3 linked regions of the Schizosaccharomyces pombe genome follow. The gene in region 3 interacts genetically with the main gene of each other region. Each region holds a gene or a part of one and is shown on either strand. Other genes may lie near its edges.

The links. A genetic interaction does not mean that the proteins touch.
Region 1: of cdc18 (region 3) and cdt1, changing one enhances a phenotype caused by changing the other (phenotypic enhancement), as found in Schizosaccharomyces pombe (3 studies listed by BioGRID).
Region 2: of cdc18 (region 3) and cig2, a mutation in one rescues a mutant of the other (synthetic rescue), as found in Schizosaccharomyces pombe (3 studies listed by BioGRID).

Annotation. Positions count from the first base shown.
Region 1 is NC_003423.3:475,685-479,961, reverse strand, and holds cdt1 (DNA replication licensing factor Cdt1), read right to left. Parts: upstream 2,571-4,277; 5' UTR 2,532-2,570; coding exon 1,263-2,531; 3' UTR 1,224-1,262; downstream 1-1,223. Other genes in the region: U3 snoRNP protein Utp15, read left to right, coding at 1-759; wpl1 (WAPL family protein), read left to right, coding at 3,442-4,277. UniProt on the Schizosaccharomyces pombe protein: DNA replication licensing factor, required for pre-replication complex assembly. Faithful duplication of the genetic material requires 'once per cell cycle' DNA replication initiation and elongation.
Region 2 is NC_003424.3:2,707,826-2,715,385, reverse strand, and holds cig2 (G1/S-specific B-type cyclin Cig2), read right to left. Parts: upstream 5,605-7,560; 5' UTR 4,307-5,604; coding exon 3,071-4,306; 3' UTR 2,334-3,070; downstream 1-2,333. Other genes in the region: P2 type calcium transporting P-type ATPase Pmc1, read left to right, coding at 1-2,333; mitochondrial [2Fe-2S] cluster assembly and transfer glutaredoxin Grx5, read right to left, coding at 6,517-6,607, 6,940-7,289. UniProt on the Schizosaccharomyces pombe protein: Essential for the control of the cell cycle at the G2/M and G1/S (mitosis) transition. Interacts with the cdc2 protein kinase to form MPF. Interaction with res2 promotes the phosphorylation of res1 and inhibits MBF-dependent gene transcription.
Region 3 is NC_003423.3:2,214,781-2,220,725, forward strand, and holds cdc18 (MCM loader), read right to left. Parts: upstream 3,205-5,945; 5' UTR 3,094-3,204; coding exon 1,360-3,093; 3' UTR 1,175-1,359; downstream 1-1,174. Other genes in the region: arc1 (ARP2/3 actin-organizing complex WD repeat subunit Sop2), read left to right, coding at 1-838; protein tam10, read right to left, coding at 3,760-4,046, 4,094-4,155, 4,213-4,267, 4,314-4,416. UniProt on the Schizosaccharomyces pombe protein: Part of the checkpoint control that prevents mitosis from occurring until S phase is completed. Plays a key role in coupling S phase to start and mitosis. Acts at the initiation of DNA replication and plays a major role in controlling the onset of S-phase.

The sequences.
Region 1 (4,277 bases), 1.7 Mb from region 3:
ACGAAGAAGCTGTCTAATCATCAAAAGAGTATCACATGCCTTGCCATGAACTCCGAGAATACTAGACTTTTGAGTGGTGGTTTAGACGGACATGTGAAAATTTATAACATCTCCGATTGGAAAGTTGTCCATGGCATGAAATATTCTGGCCCTATTTTATCTATGGGACTTTCTCCGGATAGCTGCAATTTAGTTGTGGGTATGTCGAACGGTACATTATCGCAACGGACTCGACGTATAACCAAGCAAACGAGCTCAAAAACTCCTTTCTTAGGGGGCGTCGGAAGTGCTTTTGGTGTAGTAGGTAAAAAGAAACAAATCTATAAGGGCGAGAACGATGAATTTTATGTCGAAGAGGCTAGACGTAAAAGACTTCGTCCTTTCGACAAAGCTTTAAAATCATTTTGTTACTCTGATGCTTTGGATATGGTATTGGAGAACGGATCACCTGTTCTTATCATAACTATGCTTATTGAGCTTCTTCATGTTGGAGGGTTACGGATTGCATTGTCTAACAGAGATGATTTATCTCTTACTCCTTTGATAAACTTCTTAAGAAAATATATAAGAGACCCTCGTTTCTCCGAAACTTTATGTATAGTTACTAGCACCATTTTAGATATATACGGAGCTGCTCTTGGGGGCAGCGTAATGGTGGAAAATGCAATTTCAAAGCTTCGTGAAAAAGTTGAGCAGGAAGTAGCGGTTACTCAAAGGGCAAATGAGTTGGTTGGTATGCTTCAGATGTTGTCTGCTTGACCAATGATTATGATATCTTAATGTGCGAGTTATACCTCAATTTGTGTGTTCTAACTAGCAACCTTTACATTATCGATATGATTCACTCAGATTGTTTATTAAAAACGGCGCCTTATTTGAGATTTTTAATTACAGCAATAACTGCCACCCTTTGCCGCTGGAATTGGTAAATATCAAAAAATTTTATTCAATGTTTGGGTGTTAATTTAAAGTATTCGCAGAAAAACAAAAACTTGGGATTTATGGCAGGTTAAGTGGTCTTAAAGGAAATAATTATTTATTAAAAAAAAGTAATTTTGTAGCTTGTTAAAAAGGATAACCGGATTTCATGTACCTAGAAGAGTAAATCAACCAAAAACATAATAACAAAAGTAAATTAATGAAAGATTCCATAGTATCATAATATTGGTGATGGAAATTATATAGATCGTAAAAGATAGTAAACGTTAAACCACTGCCAGCAGTGGTGATCTTAGGCATGTCATTCGAAACATCGCCTACAATTAAGAATTTGAAAGAATAGTGATGCTAGCCTTTGTTTGCAATTCTTCAATTAATTGGGATCGCAAGTATGGTTTCCCATTAACAATCCTGCTGAATGTGACTACTTGAATATTACCAAGAAGATTGATAGTGCACCAAGCAGGCAAAGCTTTTGAAAGCAACTCAATTGCTTTGGCACACTGGTCAGGTGATAAGCTTGATGATATCGACATTTGCATGCTTGTCACAATTTCAGACATAGAAAAAGATCGTTTAGTTGGCCAAGTGGAAAGCTGAACAAAAATGAGATCAATAATGCGGACAAATGAGACCTTTTCTTTTGCTAGAGTATGAACAACTAGGTTGTTTTTAAATTCTTCAGCTTTTTTTGCTTCCATTGCTTTTTGCTTTTTACGCACGCGATCGAACAGAGAAGATTGTCTCAAAGTTAACTGAGATGATGTTAGCTTACGCGATGAATTTTGAACAGATGAAGAACTTTGATGGGATTTCAAATTGATTTTTGAATTCACTGACTTTGACAAAGTGGACGAACTGTCAAGCATGCTACACGAGACTAACTCATTAGCATATTTTGCCGTGTTAGTAGTGAATTTTGGTTCTAGAGTTTGTGTGGGAATACGTAACTCGCGACTTGTTGATTTCTCCAAATTGAGCTTTCGAACTAGTGAACTTTCATTAACAGTATTCTTGGATAGACTGGGTAAAGCTTGTAACTGTTGAGCAGGAATCTCAGTTTCAGAACAATGCTCTAACAACCATTTTTCTAGTCTCCGTTTAAATTCAATGGAGCGGGAGAAGGCTTCAGGAAGATTCGCATTGCGAGGGTATGACAGTTCATATGTTGCAACACGCTTTCCTTGATGAATAGTAAAACATGGGGTAATAGCAAATGACTCTGGCCATACGGTTAAAATCTGAGCGAGATGAGTTATTTTTAAGGAGATTTTGGTGAGACCAGAGACTTTATTTTCTAACAGCACAAAGGTTGGTTTGGTATTGATGGAGAGGTGAAATTTTACACATATGTCGACTGCATTAAAGACCTTTTCTAAGAAAAGAACTGATTCATTTTTAACTGGGGGTAAAACCTCATTTTGTTCTAAAGACTCAGTGTCCAAGTTCTCTTTCAGCCTTTTAACAGCTGGTATTATTTGAGAATCCTCAGGATTTTTGGGTGGCTCAATAATGGCCGCATTCGACCTTTTTGATGAGGATCGAGTTTTACGGACAGAGAAGTTCAATTTTGTTTGCGATCCAGCGCTCATGATTTGAACACAAAATCCAAAAATAAGGATATTGTTGTCGTGACTATATAGGGCGCGACATTTCATTTATATCGAGGGTTATATTAAATTTGAGCGTGTCGCGTTTGTTGACGCGTCGCGTAGCTATCGTGTCGCGCTTGCTAACTAGTTCACATTTGTCCGACTAATCAGTTTATGTCTTACTTAGCCTATATGATTCAGTAGATTATATTGAATAAATAAGTTCCAACACTTGTACAAAATTCACAAAACAATTTTTTAACTACAGCTTTTCATTTTCCGAAGTTTTTATAGAATCTCTTATACGAGTTTAAAATTATTACAGGATGCATCGTTATATAAATTTTGAATAACTCCTTTGCTCTGCGAGATATTATTGAGTTGTTCGTTGTCGAAATTTTCAATAATATGTTACATGTCACAATGATTTCTGTATAATAAAGGTGTTGCACCAAGTTCAGGCTCTCTGAAAACAAACTTGTGTCAAATAGCCACTCGTCCACTTATGGTCTTCCATAAGTTGTACGAATTCAAAACTTTTAGTTAACTTTTTTACTATCAGTGGATAAGTTGCTATAATAAATGAATAAAAAGATGCCCTGTATGATTTCTATCGACTAAGTCTTTTCTATTTATACTGGGTAGAGTAACAATGTGACTCAAATATCTATAAGGACCGATTGAAATCAACCAAGTACAAATAGAAAAACGATTCTAAAATTACTGAGTATAAAAAACGAATTTCTCATCAAGGACCCTATTTTCTTTTTTCTTTGCTCAAGAAGTTATTAAGCTCTATTTTCGAAGGTTTTCACTCACTCGACAAGCTACATTGTGAGTTGGTACGACCGTGTTCCTCCATTTTTGTAAAGAATCGATGTCAAGCCAGGCGGATTGAAGAAACCTTGAAATGAAAAGAGGAAAATGTAAGGAAAAAGATAATGGTTTGAAGAGAATTTCTTCGGAATCGGAAGTTTGGAACTTTTTAGACGTGACAGTTTCAGAGTTAAACAAGCAAAAGCGCTCGCCAGGACAGACCGTGTCTAAACGACTGCATAAAAAGCAAAGGGTCGTTAGTAATCCTGATTTGAGTTTACCGTCTTCACCGGTAAAACAAATTTTAAGAAATGGACTTCAGAATTCAAAGTACGGTTCTCATAAGACAGGACTGGAAAGGTCCGCGAGCTGTAGTAGTATTGATGCTTCCGCAAACCATTCTTCCACTACCTATCGGGAACAAAGATCGTATTTGATGGAGGAAGGATTAGATACTCAGCCAATTGTACCCCGTGAAGTATCCTCTGGTCGAGAATTGGATTCAACCAACCATACTATTGGTACAGAACGTGCTTTTTTGATAGAGGAAGACGTATCAGAAGATGATGAAATTCAAATGAAAAGTATACATGAACTTCGCTTTGCTGGAGAGCAGCAAAGGATCGTTGATGAAATTGAATACTTAGTGGACGGAGTGACTTTCTCAGGTAACTCTTCTGCTTCTCGCTATTTGAGTTTAATAGGAATCGCTGAAAAAATGTTTGACAATTCATTTCGTTTATGCTTAAAGTCGATACGGGATGTCTTCTTGCGAATATTTGAAGAAATTGATCCTAAAGATACTTTACACACTTTTTTGCAGATTTATATATTTGCAACTATGGCTAATGAAATGGATTGCATGAGTTCCTTGCTTGATGCTTACTCAAACAATGTTAAACTTCTTTTGCAAACGGCTATTACTTTAGA
Region 2 (7,560 bases), on a different chromosome or scaffold from region 3:
CTACAAATCGCATGCAGAAAGATAATAACTTGGTCCGTCACTTACAAGCTTGTGAAACGATGGGAACAGCTACTAACATTTGCTCGGATAAAACTGGTACGTTAACCCAAAATCGAATGACTGTTGTTGCGGGTGGATTTGGCACAGATGTGTTGTTTTTTGATCATAATGATGAAACTCCTACCAACGTTGATCAGGGTTCCGATTCTTCAAAGTTCGAAGACGCTGGTGCTAGCGCATTCGCCTTTAAGCGCCTTTCCCCAGAACTTCGGGACTTAACTCTTTACAGTATTGCTGTCAATTCGACATGTCGACAGCTATTTGAGGATAATTCTGACACCCCAAGGTTTATAGGTTCTAAGACAGAAACAGCATTACTTGATATGTCAGTCAAAGAGCTGGGACTTACAAACGTCGATAGCATGCGTTCAAGCGTTGATATCAAGCAATTCTTCTCATTTTCCTCTGACCGCAAAGCATCTGGTGCTATATTTGAATACAAAGACAAGTATTACTTTGTAGTAAAAGGTATGCCGGAAAGAGTTTTGCAACAGTCTACATCAGTTATTACCAATGGCTCCCTTGACGAAGTTGAAGATATGCATTCTCATGCAGATTATTTTAAAGAAATGATCACTGGATATGCCAAAAGATCTCTTCGTACTTTAGGTTTATGCTATCGTGTGTTTGACTCTTGGCCTCCCAAAGATATTCCCACCAATGACGAGGATAGTTCTAATCCTTTGAAATGGGAAGACGCATTTACAGACATGACTTTCTTAGGATTTTTCGGTATCATGGACCCTATTCGGCCAGATGTACCTTTGGCTGTAAAGGTTTGCCAAGGTGCAGGGGTGACTGTTCGTATGGTTACTGGTGATAATATTGTTACTGCTAAGGCTATTGCTTCGCAGTGCGGAATTTACACAGAGGATGGAATATCCATGGAAGGACCGGAATTTCGATCTCTTTCTGATGAGAAACGCTTAGAAATCTTACCCAAATTAGATGTACTTGCACGCTCATCTCCTTTGGACAAACAGTTATTGATTGAAGGACTGCAGAAGCTTGGTAACGTAGTAGCGGTTACAGGTGATGGTACCAATGATGCGCCTGCACTAAAAAAAGCTAACGTCGGCTTTTCAATGGGTAAATCGGGAACCGAAGTTGCCAAGGAGGCGTCCGATATTATCCTTATGGACGACAACTTCTCGTCAATTGTGAAAGCAATTGCTTGGGGAAGAACCGTTAACGACGCTGTAAAAAAATTCCTGCAATTTCAAATTACCGTGAATATTACGGCTGTTTTCTTGACTATTATCTCTGCTGTTGCCTCGACTGACCAAAGCTCTGTTTTAACTGCTGTTCAGCTTTTGTGGGTTAATTTAATTATGGATACACTTGCTGCTCTTGCACTTGCCACTGACCCTCCTACTCCTGAAGTGTTAAAGAGGAAACCTGAGAAACCAGGTGCATCGCTTTTTACTTTTGACATGTGGAAAATGATTATTTGTCAATCTATGTACCAACTTGCTGTTACTTTGGTGCTACACTTTGCTGGTAATAGTATCTTCCATTACCCTTCCAATACTGCGGACATGAATACTATTGTTTTCAATACCTTTGTCTGGCTCCAGCTGTTTAACGAAATTAACAATCGGAGATTGGATAACAAGCTCAATATTTTTGAACGTATTAACCATAACTTCCTCTTTATTGCTATTTTCGTTATTGTTGCTGGTATCCAAGTTATAATTGTTTTTTTCGGAGGTGCCGCATTCTCCGTAAAAAGAATCGATGGTAAAGGATGGGCGATTTCCATCGTGTTTGGTGTTATCTCTATCCCACTTGGAGCCTTGATTCGTTGTGTACCAAACAATTTCCTAAGAAAGGTCCTTCCGGTTAAGACAATTGACACTGTTTTCTCTTGGATTCTAAATCCTAGGTTCCGTTCTAAGCGCCGTTCAACCGATCATGATGTTGAATCCCTTAGTCTTATCCCGTATGAACCCACATCTCCCAACGAAGTTATTGACTCTATTCGTCATTCCCTTGGCTTCGTTCAACGCATTAGAGGAGGAAGGATACGCCACCTACTCAACAACTCCAAATTTGATAAACAGATGGAAGCGCTTCCTGAACGTCTTCGTCCCCGTGTAAAACAGAGATTTATGAAGATCCGTTCACCTTCTGTTTCTTCAGCTACTAGCGTAGCTTTAATGATTCCTATCTCAACACTTGTTAGTGAAGCCAGCGGACGATTAGGTGGGCATGACATTTGGATTTCTCACAATCGCCAAGCTCTCGATAAAAAAAGCTCAAATGTTCATTAATTTAAGACGAATGTATGAGACAGAATAACAGTGATTCTATTATCGAATTTTTCTTTTTTATTTCCTTATTCTCGTTGGAAATCGCCTTCTTTTTCTATATTTGTTATCAATTAAAAGTTTGTTTCTTAGGTTTAAAAATTCCCTTTTTGTATAGAAAACGAGTCAGCTTTACCTTTTTCCTTATGTCTACTTTCTTTGTTTATCTTTATGAGTTACTTGGTTTTTGCCTATTAATGGTTTAGCCAGTTTGTTATATACCGCTTGAGCTTTAAGTTTTATGAATGAATAAAGAAAACTCCATTAATTAGAAACATGTTGTTTAACAGAAATATGAGGAAACAACGTACACGTATTTTGAAATAAAAAATGTAAACGTAACATAAAGTAAGGAATGAAATTATCGAATACTCTAGAATCAACGGAATCATCTAAAAGACAATGTGTGAGGATTAAGCATCAACACGGTTTGTTTAGTAGACTACAAAATTTTCAATTCTAAAACTCTTGGATAAAACTTGGGTATATGGTATATAATTAAGGACTTAGTTATCAAGGAGGAAAGGCTTGATGACATACTTGAAAACAGTCCTTGCATAAAGATGATAAGATTCAAAGAAAGAGAAGAAGAAAAAGAAGCTCTTTAAAAAGTAAATAAGTTATGATAATAAATAATAAAAGAAGAGCTCAACCTCATATTCAACAGAATATTTGCGTAAGAAAATTTATAAGAGCGTTCGTTAGTGACCATCATTTGTTAAAGAAGAAGACGGTTCTGATTGAAGGTCATCATCGTCCGTACGATTGACTGAGTATCGTTGACGGACGAGTTGATGAACAAAAATACTAGCCTTCAGGAACCTTTTTGAGGAGTATTTTTGGAAAAAGGCTTTGTGTTCTAGAGGCTTGTTATGATAATGAAGCATAATATACGCTATCTCCTTTAATTCATGCTCTTCATACCCACCAGAGCTTTCAACTAACTTTGGCGTCCATGGGCCGCGACGCAATAATCGGCGGCTCAAATACATTGCGGCAGCAGCAATTTTAGACATAGGATATCGTAATAAATCGTGGTCAAACAGATAAATTTCTGTTAGGTATTTCCCCAATGTCCTTGTTTGTGCATCATAACCTTCTGCTTGAGATATTTTGCGAAGAAAATTTAAAGGACTTGGATAGGACAAGTCAAAATTGAGAACATTTAACATATAACGTTCAGCGACACAGACATCTTCTACGGTAAAAGCACCATCAGTCATGTAAACAAAGTTTTGTATCGAAGGACACATAACCTCCTCATATTTGCTAGCGATGAGAAGAGCAGTAATGCCTGTTAATTGAAATTTAGACAAAGAGCATGAACGACGCGACAAGAATCGATCAATTATATTGACTGCCAAATAAAGGGTTTCGGGCATTAAACAAAAGTTGGAATGTATTTCCACCAACCATTCATTCAAAATTTCCCTCATTTTCCAGGTTAATTCTTTTTGTTGGTCCATATATTTTGGATTGGGAAGACACTTTAAATCCAGCTTTCTGATGTACTCAAATATTTCGGGTGCGTATTCCTCAGCCATCAAAGGATTGGAGGATAAATGATCATCAACATTAGAGACTCTGTCCTTTTGTAAAGTTTCTACAGATGGATCCGCATTTTTGCTATAAACTTTCAACTTTTTCACGAATTTAGATTCGACAGGTTTATCAGCTTCTTCATTTGTAGATAAATTAGATTCATCGAACGATCTTTTCGCTTTTTTCGTATCCTTCTCATCAGCATTATTTTTACCTACATTGGAAACATCAGATAGGACAGTTCGACGTGGCAGATTAATTTCAAAATTTGTAGATAATTTTGTCTTCTCAGTCCCTTTTGATAAAGCTTGTTTGCCAACAAGTGTGTTTTCATCTTGATAACTATGCTTATTGATTTTAGAACCAACAGGCTTTGAAATTGAATAGAGAGCCATATGAAATATGGATTGATAAATTACCCTTTTATCAACGTATAGAAATATATCTGATTGTTTGTAACCAAAAATGTCTTCTTTTTATTAAAATAAGGAAACTGTTTTTGGTAAATTAATCTCAATTGACAAGATGGATAAATTAGGGAAATTGAGCGATCGAGAAACAGAAAGCACTTATAGCGAATTTTTAAAGTTTCTCTTTTAAATGAGAATAAATCAATGGGTCCGAATTATTCTATTGTTGTTGATAGGAAGAAAGGGAAAGAAATCGTCCAAACATAAACAAATGAATTGTGTAAACAAACCAAACCAACCTACTGTTGTGGATATAAACGAAAAAAAAAAACAAGCAGATGTAATCAAAATTGAGAAAGAAAAAAAAGTAAAGATAAATTTTTTAACGTTCGATTCGAAAATGAATTTACCTCTTTGAGGTATGCAGAATTAACTCTTATAAAGCACAAGAGCGTAGTTTAAAGGGACAATGATTAACGAAGAGAATTAAAAAGAACACTTCTTTGTAATTAGTTTAGAAAAAGCAAAGTTGAAGGTTTGATAAACAAACGATGGATCAGAAAAAGCAGCACTAAGACGAACAATACAAGCAAATAAGTTTGATAGTTCGAATTTAAAAGAATAACAAATGTAGGTGTTATTTTTCCAGCAAGAAAAGCGAGTAAAACCTTTTCAGCTTGAGGGCGAGAGCAATGCTGAAAGGCTAAATAAATTGCAATTGGGAAGACTGTAGGATAGCAATTGTTGCACTAATATCGAAAGGGGACGATTAATTATGTTTTAATAAGATATAGTGTACTTGTTATAAGAGAAATGACTGTCTTTGGCAAGCGCCTCCTGTAAAAGAGTAGGACAATAAGCGAACCAGAACAAAGAAAACAAAGAAACTTAAAACGGTAAAGTACACAATAGAAACCGACACTTAGCAGCTGAAAAGTGTAAAAAATTAATTAAAAGAAAATAAGTACAGTAGAAATAAGATACTCCGGAGTAAAAACTAGCTTGACACTCAAAATACTGAAAGCTTAATTTACTATTGTTTACAGTTAAAACCAGCTCAACCTAGTATATGGAGCCTAAACTGATCCCTATAGCATGTATTTGAAAAAAGAAATTAGAAAGAAGGAATATTCAAAGAGAAAAGAAGAAACGCAAAAAGCAGCGACAACAAGAGAAGGACTTCAAGGTGGATCCAACCTTTGGTAGAGTCTTGTAAAAGGGAAATTACACTTGTACAAGTGCCTTTGAAGCCTTTCTTGTAACTCAACACAAGTCAAAGTGTCAGTGAAAAAGCAAAAGACAGGCATAGCAAGCATATAAAAGAAGTAAACGCGACGCGACGCGAGAAACGCGCTTTCGCGCAAGCTAAGTTGCGTGCACCTCGTTTTGGCGTGTTTTAGAGCGCGCGCTTTGGTGTAGCGTTTTGTATATTACAATTCACTATGCGCGTGCCGTCATTACATGCTACACAAACTAACGCAATTTGAATAGAATTAAAAAGGGAGAGTTCGCTAATACTTTATATCGCAGTTACACTATAATTCGCTATATGCTGAGCTTGGAAGGAATAATGTTGTTTGTCAAGAAACACAAGCATCTGTTAATAAAAGTTTGGTAAACGTCTCGTAACGTCGATAAGCCAGTACTTTATATAATCAAAGAAGAATTTTTAAATCATATCAGATAACCAATCGTAATGCTTTCTGTGAATTACACCTACCAAGACATTGTTCTGTGCAACAACATAAGCAAAATAAAACAGTATTCAGCAATAGCGCTTTAACATTAAATCTAATTTACGACATTTTTTTTAAAAAAAAAGTCAAGGAATAACAATAAGGCATAAATCACGACACTAATTTCCATTCTCTATGTCATTTGGATGGACATGAACATGAACATGATCGCTTTCAAATTGATATTGAGGTTGATCCAAAAAATAACTTCCGATAAAAATTATTTTTTCTTATAGAGCTCTTTTACATTATTTCCAACATTTTGTCATGAAAGGGCATGAACACAAAAAAGAGGAGAAACAGAATTTCAAAGCTTCATTAAAGAATATCAAGCGTACAGCAAAAAGATAATTGAATAACGTCTGATTGATATACATGGCCTGTGGTGTCAAGTTGACCAATAAACTAAAAAATGCACAAGACCGTGGTACGTTGTGCAAATTAATTTGCAATGTGGACTCAATCCTTTTTAGTAGTTTCCTCTTCACTATCCTTTGGCTGTTCAGGGGCCAAAGCATTTATTTCTTTTAGAATTTTGTGAAGCTCTCCTCTACAGACAAATTGTTAATACAGAAATGTTGACAAGGAGAAATAATTAAATATGAGAGAAAAAATGAGGGAGAGAACAATGTGGCATATATAGACGACGAATTAAAGACACTGATACACTAATAGTTGATTTTTATCCAATGCTTTAAAAGGGAAAGTTCATTTGAAGAAAGAGCGAAAATATAACAGGGTTTTTTTATCTTTAATATCAACTAGAGTGATTAAACAGTTGTAGAATCCTCCTTCATCATCTTTAACATTTCCTATGACACCTCCTCAATCCTCACCGTCTCTCTACCAAATAATAAAAATACAGTTTAAAACATTACTTACGATTTATGCATGGACGCCAAGATATCACTACCGCCCACGAATTCTCCGTTAATATAAAGTTGAGGAATCGTAGGCCAGTCGCTGAACTCCTTTATACCTTCACGTAGCTCATCATTACTCAAAACGTTGTACGTAACTAATTTATCGGAAGCAACGTTTTCTAATGAAAGAATTTGAATCGCCTTTAATGAAAATCCACACATTGGGCGGGTAGGTGTACCTTTCATGAATAAAACGATAGGATCCTCTTTGACGGCCTGTTCAAGAGCTTGACGAGTTTGTGTGGACAGCATGCGAAGTTGCATGGATATACTGGTTTTAGGAATCCAAAATCTAAACATCGAATTCATCTTGAATATGGATATTGTAAAGTGTTTATAATAAGGCAATTTTGAGCTTGAATGTCAACTCATTGATTCGCCGCAGATAAAAGTGTAAGAAGCCGTACCACGTTCTATTGCGCTATATAGAATTCTTCCAAGTCTTAAATCAGTATAATATTATAGAAAATCAGTACTTTTAGAAAAGTTTTATAAGAATATTTATTTTATTAGAAAAGTATATCGTGGGATAAAAGACTTAATATTGTACTAATCAGTTTCTGATTTCGAGAAGAACGCA
Region 3 (5,945 bases):
GAATCGTGCCGCTACGTTTGTTCGTTGGTCGCCTAACGAGGACAAGTTTGCTGTTGGTAGTGGTGCTCGTGTCATTTCTGTTTGCTACTTTGAACAAGAAAATGACTGGTGGGTCAGCAAACATCTGAAACGTCCGCTTCGTAGTACCATTTTGTCTTTGGACTGGCATCCTAATAACGTTTTATTAGCTGCCGGCTGTGCAGACCGTAAGGCATACGTTTTATCTGCTTATGTTCGTGATGTCGATGCCAAACCAGAAGCCAGCGTTTGGGGTTCACGTTTACCTTTCAACACTGTTTGCGCTGAATACCCATCTGGTGGTTGGGTTCACGCCGTTGGATTTTCACCTTCGGGTAATGCCTTAGCGTATGCTGGCCATGATTCTTCTGTTACGATTGCATATCCCAGTGCTCCCGAGCAACCCCCACGAGCTCTAATTACTGTCAAATTATCTCAATTGCCTTTGCGTTCTCTTCTTTGGGCGAATGAGAGTGCCATTGTGGCTGCTGGCTATAACTATTCTCCTATTCTTTTGCAAGGCAATGAGTCCGGTTGGGCCCATACTCGCGATTTGGATGCCGGAACTTCCAAGACCTCATTCACTCACACAGGAAATACTGGTGAAGGTAGAGAGGAAGAGGGTCCTGTTTCATTTACTGCTCTTCGTAGCACATTCCGTAACATGGATTTGAAGGGCTCCAGCCAGTCTATTTCGTCTTTACCAACCGTTCATCAAAATATGATTGCAACCCTTCGACCTTACGCTGGGACTCCTGGCAATATTACTGCGTTTACCTCCAGCGGTACCGACGGACGTGTTGTTTTGTGGACTCTTTAGAAAAGATATCGGCAAATGAATCTTATCAAATCAATTATCGAATTTCCGTAGATGTTAATCTCATAGAATAAAAGAATTGAACAAGCTTTAGCTAGATATAGTAACTGTTATTCCGCAGCTTATATGATTACTATGTCGTCTTATAAATTTTTGTCAATCATATTCAGTTTTGTGTATATATTTTTTCTTAGAGACCCCAAAATTGAGAAGTGCTTTTGCTACGTAAGTTTACTTATACCACCACTTGAGACTGAACCACGGGTATGCGTTCTTACGAATAATCATTAGATATAACTTAGATTAAAGTGTTTATTAATTGTATAGTTAGTAAAATTAGTAAAGATCAACCTGAAAAGTTTAAACACCAAGTTGGATAAATAATATTGTTCAAATTTATGTAATCCAAACAACGAAATTGAAAGGATGTTCTAATTTGATCCTTTCGGCAAAATTTGAAAACCGTAACGCGTGAAATAAAAATATAATGAATAGAAAAAAAGAATGAGAAAGAAATGATAGTACTATCTTCTGTCAAAAAATCGTTTTAAGGTACCAATGTCTCCAACAGCTGTAATGACATCCATTTCTGGAACAAGCAAACTAATGATTCGGTCCTGAGGCTTTCCGTTACGCTGCTTCGTGCGCAAACGAATGATTGCAAGAGTTTCTAAAGAATTCGCGACATCGCAAAATTCCGAACTTGTTAATGGATAAATCAAACGATCTCGAAGACACAAAGAACTGTATTTTTCAAATACATCGGCAACACTCAATGAGGTTTTTTCACAAACAACAAGCGTACAAAGGATGGCTTTCTGTTGAAGACCAAGGTTTTTTAAACGAGCACTAGCAGATTGGCTCATAGCAGATGTCGCTCGGACAACATGAGCAATTGATGCTCTTGGTATATCAACAGAAGATAATGTGTTGTCATGTTGAGCTTTCCATTCTCTTTCCGCAAGTTCAATTGCATGCCTACATATGTCTAATGCTTTTCTCAAGTCACCACTTGAAGCTGCAACTTTCCGGGCACATAATTCAATTGCAGCAGGATGTATAAAAGGTGTTTCATCAGCATGCTGAGATACAACATTTATACTATCATCGCTTACTTCAGAGATTGATTTAATAGGAGTAAAAGGATTGTTTTTTTCTGATGTGGTAGCGGCGGTTTTCAAACGCGCTTTTATAATTGTTGAGATTTCTTGAGCAGTATAAGGCGTAAAAGAGAGTAATTTGGGAGTAATATGCTTTGTTCGTAAACGAGGGAGAAATCGATCTGTCATGTCTAAGGCATTTGCAATGCCTACCAAAATTAATCTCGAAGTCGGTCGAGAGGGCCATTCAAAAAGCGTGTACAGAACCTGCTGTTCGCGAGCAATCAAGTGATCCATTTCATCTAAAACAATAATGACTGGGTTATATAATTCATTGGCGGACTGGGTGAAATGCGACTCTAGTTCACATTGGAAATTGATGTGATGATCTTCATTTTCTAAAATTTCCTCTTTAACAATTTTAGAGTGAATTTTTTCAAAAATTGCTTTTGGTTCATTAATAGTCATACAATTAATGTAACAAACATTAACTTTGGGATAATCGCTCACTACATGATCCAGCACGTTGTGAAGCAGAACGGTCTTTCCTGTGCCAGGGGCACCACTTACGTACAATGCACCTCCAGCATTAGCATCAAGATGTTGACGAAAGAAAGATTCCACAATTGACTTCTCATTTTCACGACCCACGACTCCTGCTGAACGATATGATTTACGTAAACTCAATTTGGCAGTAGAATTATAGGACGGAGTGGAGGGTGTCGAAGGAGTGGGAGGAAAAAGTTGACGGTGAGGTGTCGATTGCAAAAGGCGAGTAGCAAATGGAACAGGATTACATGTACGATTTAATGATTTGGGTGTAACAATTTGAATGGTCCTTTTGGGGGTTTTAGGAGTTTGAGGTGTTGTGGGTAATTTAGGTTTCTTATTCTCCTTTAACTGAGCAGGAAAATTAGGATAAAGGTCAGTTTTCTCCTCTTGCAGTTCTCCTAGTTCATATTTTATTCTTTTTGTGGGTGTTTGGAAATGTGAGCTAGCCAGCGTACGTTTTCTGCTGGGTGTAGTCGGAATCTCTATTGAAAAGGAAGGTGAATGCTCCCTTTGATTAGTTTTGTTAGTACAGTCAATCAAGGCTGCAGAATCTATAAAACGATTGCATCTTCGAGGTGTATGACAACCTATTGGAGTTTCACACATATCGATACTTTATAGTAACCCCGTTTACTAATTATGTTATTTACCAATAGACAAGTCAGGTAAATTTGATAAAAGGGCTACTAAGTAATATTAACTTCGTGCTTGGTGTTTAAGTTTTGTTTAAGAGCAGATATGTCTTTTATAAATATACGCGACGCGACACGTAAACGCGAAATCTAATTAATCACGAAGAGTAAATGAGATGTCGCGTTCAACTCTACGTGTCGTGTCGCGTTCTACGCGCGAACCTTTTTACTCTATAAGTTTATATTCAGGTAATGATATTATTTTATAACGACTCATCCTCAAAGATATGAAATGCCTTCTCATATTCCAATTTAGTTACGACGTTAGTAAAATTAAAGTAAAAGACCCTAAATTCTTTTAATAAATTAGAAAATCTTTTTTCAATTATCCCTAAAGATAACAGAGGTCCCACGAACGAATTTTTGATGGACCATACCATCTTTGGTGCTAATGGCCAATAAAGCAAACAGCATTTCGATTAAAGAAAAGTAAACCTCTTACAATGTTCACTAAAATTGAATTTCATAGCAAAGTTTCCTCTAGTTTAGAATGCAAGTGAACACTTTAAGCTAGTTTAACAAAAGGAAGATGAGAATTTTGGTAATTATCCAAAAGAATAAACTAAACATAAACCCCAAATTACATGCCCAATCCCTTTTTTGTTCCTTTGTGTAAAACACCGTGCATATATTGTTGTTCTAGTTCTTTCTCTCTCTGCTTGTCATTTGTTTTATTAGATTGAGCAGACGGAGACGATTCAGTGATGGATGCAGCATTTTTTATACCCAACATTTTTAAAAATTTTGATTTTCGTTGATTTCCACCAGACAAACTCGCTGCAAGCCAGTAGTCAGTGTTTCCCTTATCCTGACTCCTACTTAACGAGTTTTTCATTTGATCATGATCATTTTCAGCTACGTTTTTTACTTTTCAGTGTTAACGAGCATTTACTGTTAATGCTTAATATACATACCCATAGGATCCTCCGCTAGAGTTTTGGTGTTTTTTATACTCGATCTTTCCCTTTCCTCTTTCCTGATACTATGTTAGAGTGGGAAGTAGTGATTTAATAAAAAGCATTAAAAAACATACTTAAGCTTTTTAACTTTATGCTTTAGCTTTTTGTATTGTTTTAACTCTTTTTCATCTGAACACTCATGTTAATGAAATTTAAAGAAACTTGCCCAACATACCGAGTTTTTTTTTTTCCTTTGATGAAAGCTTTCGAAAAGTAGAAACATCTGTTCCAAAAGGATGGATTTGCTTATCCTTCTTTGAGGATTTGGAGCTTCCCATTTTTTTTTTAGACCGTGGCGTTGGTGGAATTCCAATAGAGATAAAATCGTAAACAAATGAGCCAAATAAGCAATACCCTTAGACAGCTCGGAGTTTTATCTTTTTTCGTAAAAAAGTTTATGGATCTGAATACATTTCTAAACATTATAGTTAAGCTGCATATAGCCATCTATTGAGTACCAAAAATCTGTTCCGTTTTTGGAAAACATCTAGATAGATCGGTTGGCAATCAATTATTCTTCTTTTTCTACATCTTTTATGATCTTTGATGCTTCCTTGTGGTCCACTGAAGCTTCTGATTCAATTGTCTCAGGCGTCTCAACGGAAATAGCTGATGACGCTTTCATAGAAGGGACATTCACATTAGGTTCTTTAGCATTAGTCATTTTCTCTTCTAATTTATTTACTTCTTTTTTTTTATCTTTTTGATTCTTTTCCTGTAGTTCGGATCGCAAAGAAGATATCATACTGTTTCTGCTCTGCAACAACATATCAAGAATTTCAAGACTTTTTCCGTGATAGTCAACTTCATGAAGTAAGGGTCTATTTAGAGTTTTCCTTAAAAGATTAACAGTTTTGTCTTTAGCGGTAATTTGTCGTATTCTCTGATCCAACAGTGAACTTGATCTTGACGAACTTTGGCGGAGTAGACCTGTCTCCGTCCTCAGGAGTTGCTTTTTTCTTTCTTCCTCTAGTACTGATTTGTATTTATCAATTGACTGTTTGGCTGTATGGTGATATGCTGAAAGCGAACAGGACCCAGCAATTGTCCTCCATACCATCGGACGCAAACGACCATTCCATAGACATCTTCTTTTCGCAACACGTTTAGAAGCTTTTGTCCTGAGTATTCTTCCCCGTCATCATTAAAAGCCTCTATCTCATTGGGAAAACGCCAAGCTTGCATTTTATGATTGCAATGCTTTAAGTCGGCAGATTCTTGAAACATAAATCTATATACTGGGAGCATTTTTGGATCTTTAGACGGGACAAAGTAAGATAAAAATGTTGATTCTCTATCTGTAATTAAATTGGACATATAGGAGCATTCTTGTAAGGATTGCTTAGGAACCGCTAATGAGATCCCTTCATTGCCAAATTTAAGTTGAGATTGGCGCTTGTTCATATCATATCAATTCTTTCTTTGGAATAGTGGAATTAAATTTAAAAACTATGAGAAAAACATTGATTTAATTCAATTTCAAATCAGATTACGGCAAGGTGCACTTGTTGAGTTGGATGGTCCCATGAAAATTGCATTACAATCTCAATATAGATTACACTTTCAAGATTTACAAACTATTTTTTTTATCGATTTACGAATTTCTGAACGTATGGTTAGCTCGAAAATCCCATTTTGGTCGAAGCAAACGATGCAAATAGATACTAGGTAGATAATGGTAAACACCGACAATTTTAAATATTTTTTGGACAAATATATATAAACTTTTTTTTTTCTCCTGCTAAATTAATATGGGTCAACAAAAATTCGGATAGCGTTTTCCTGCAGAAACATAACTCGTTTACCA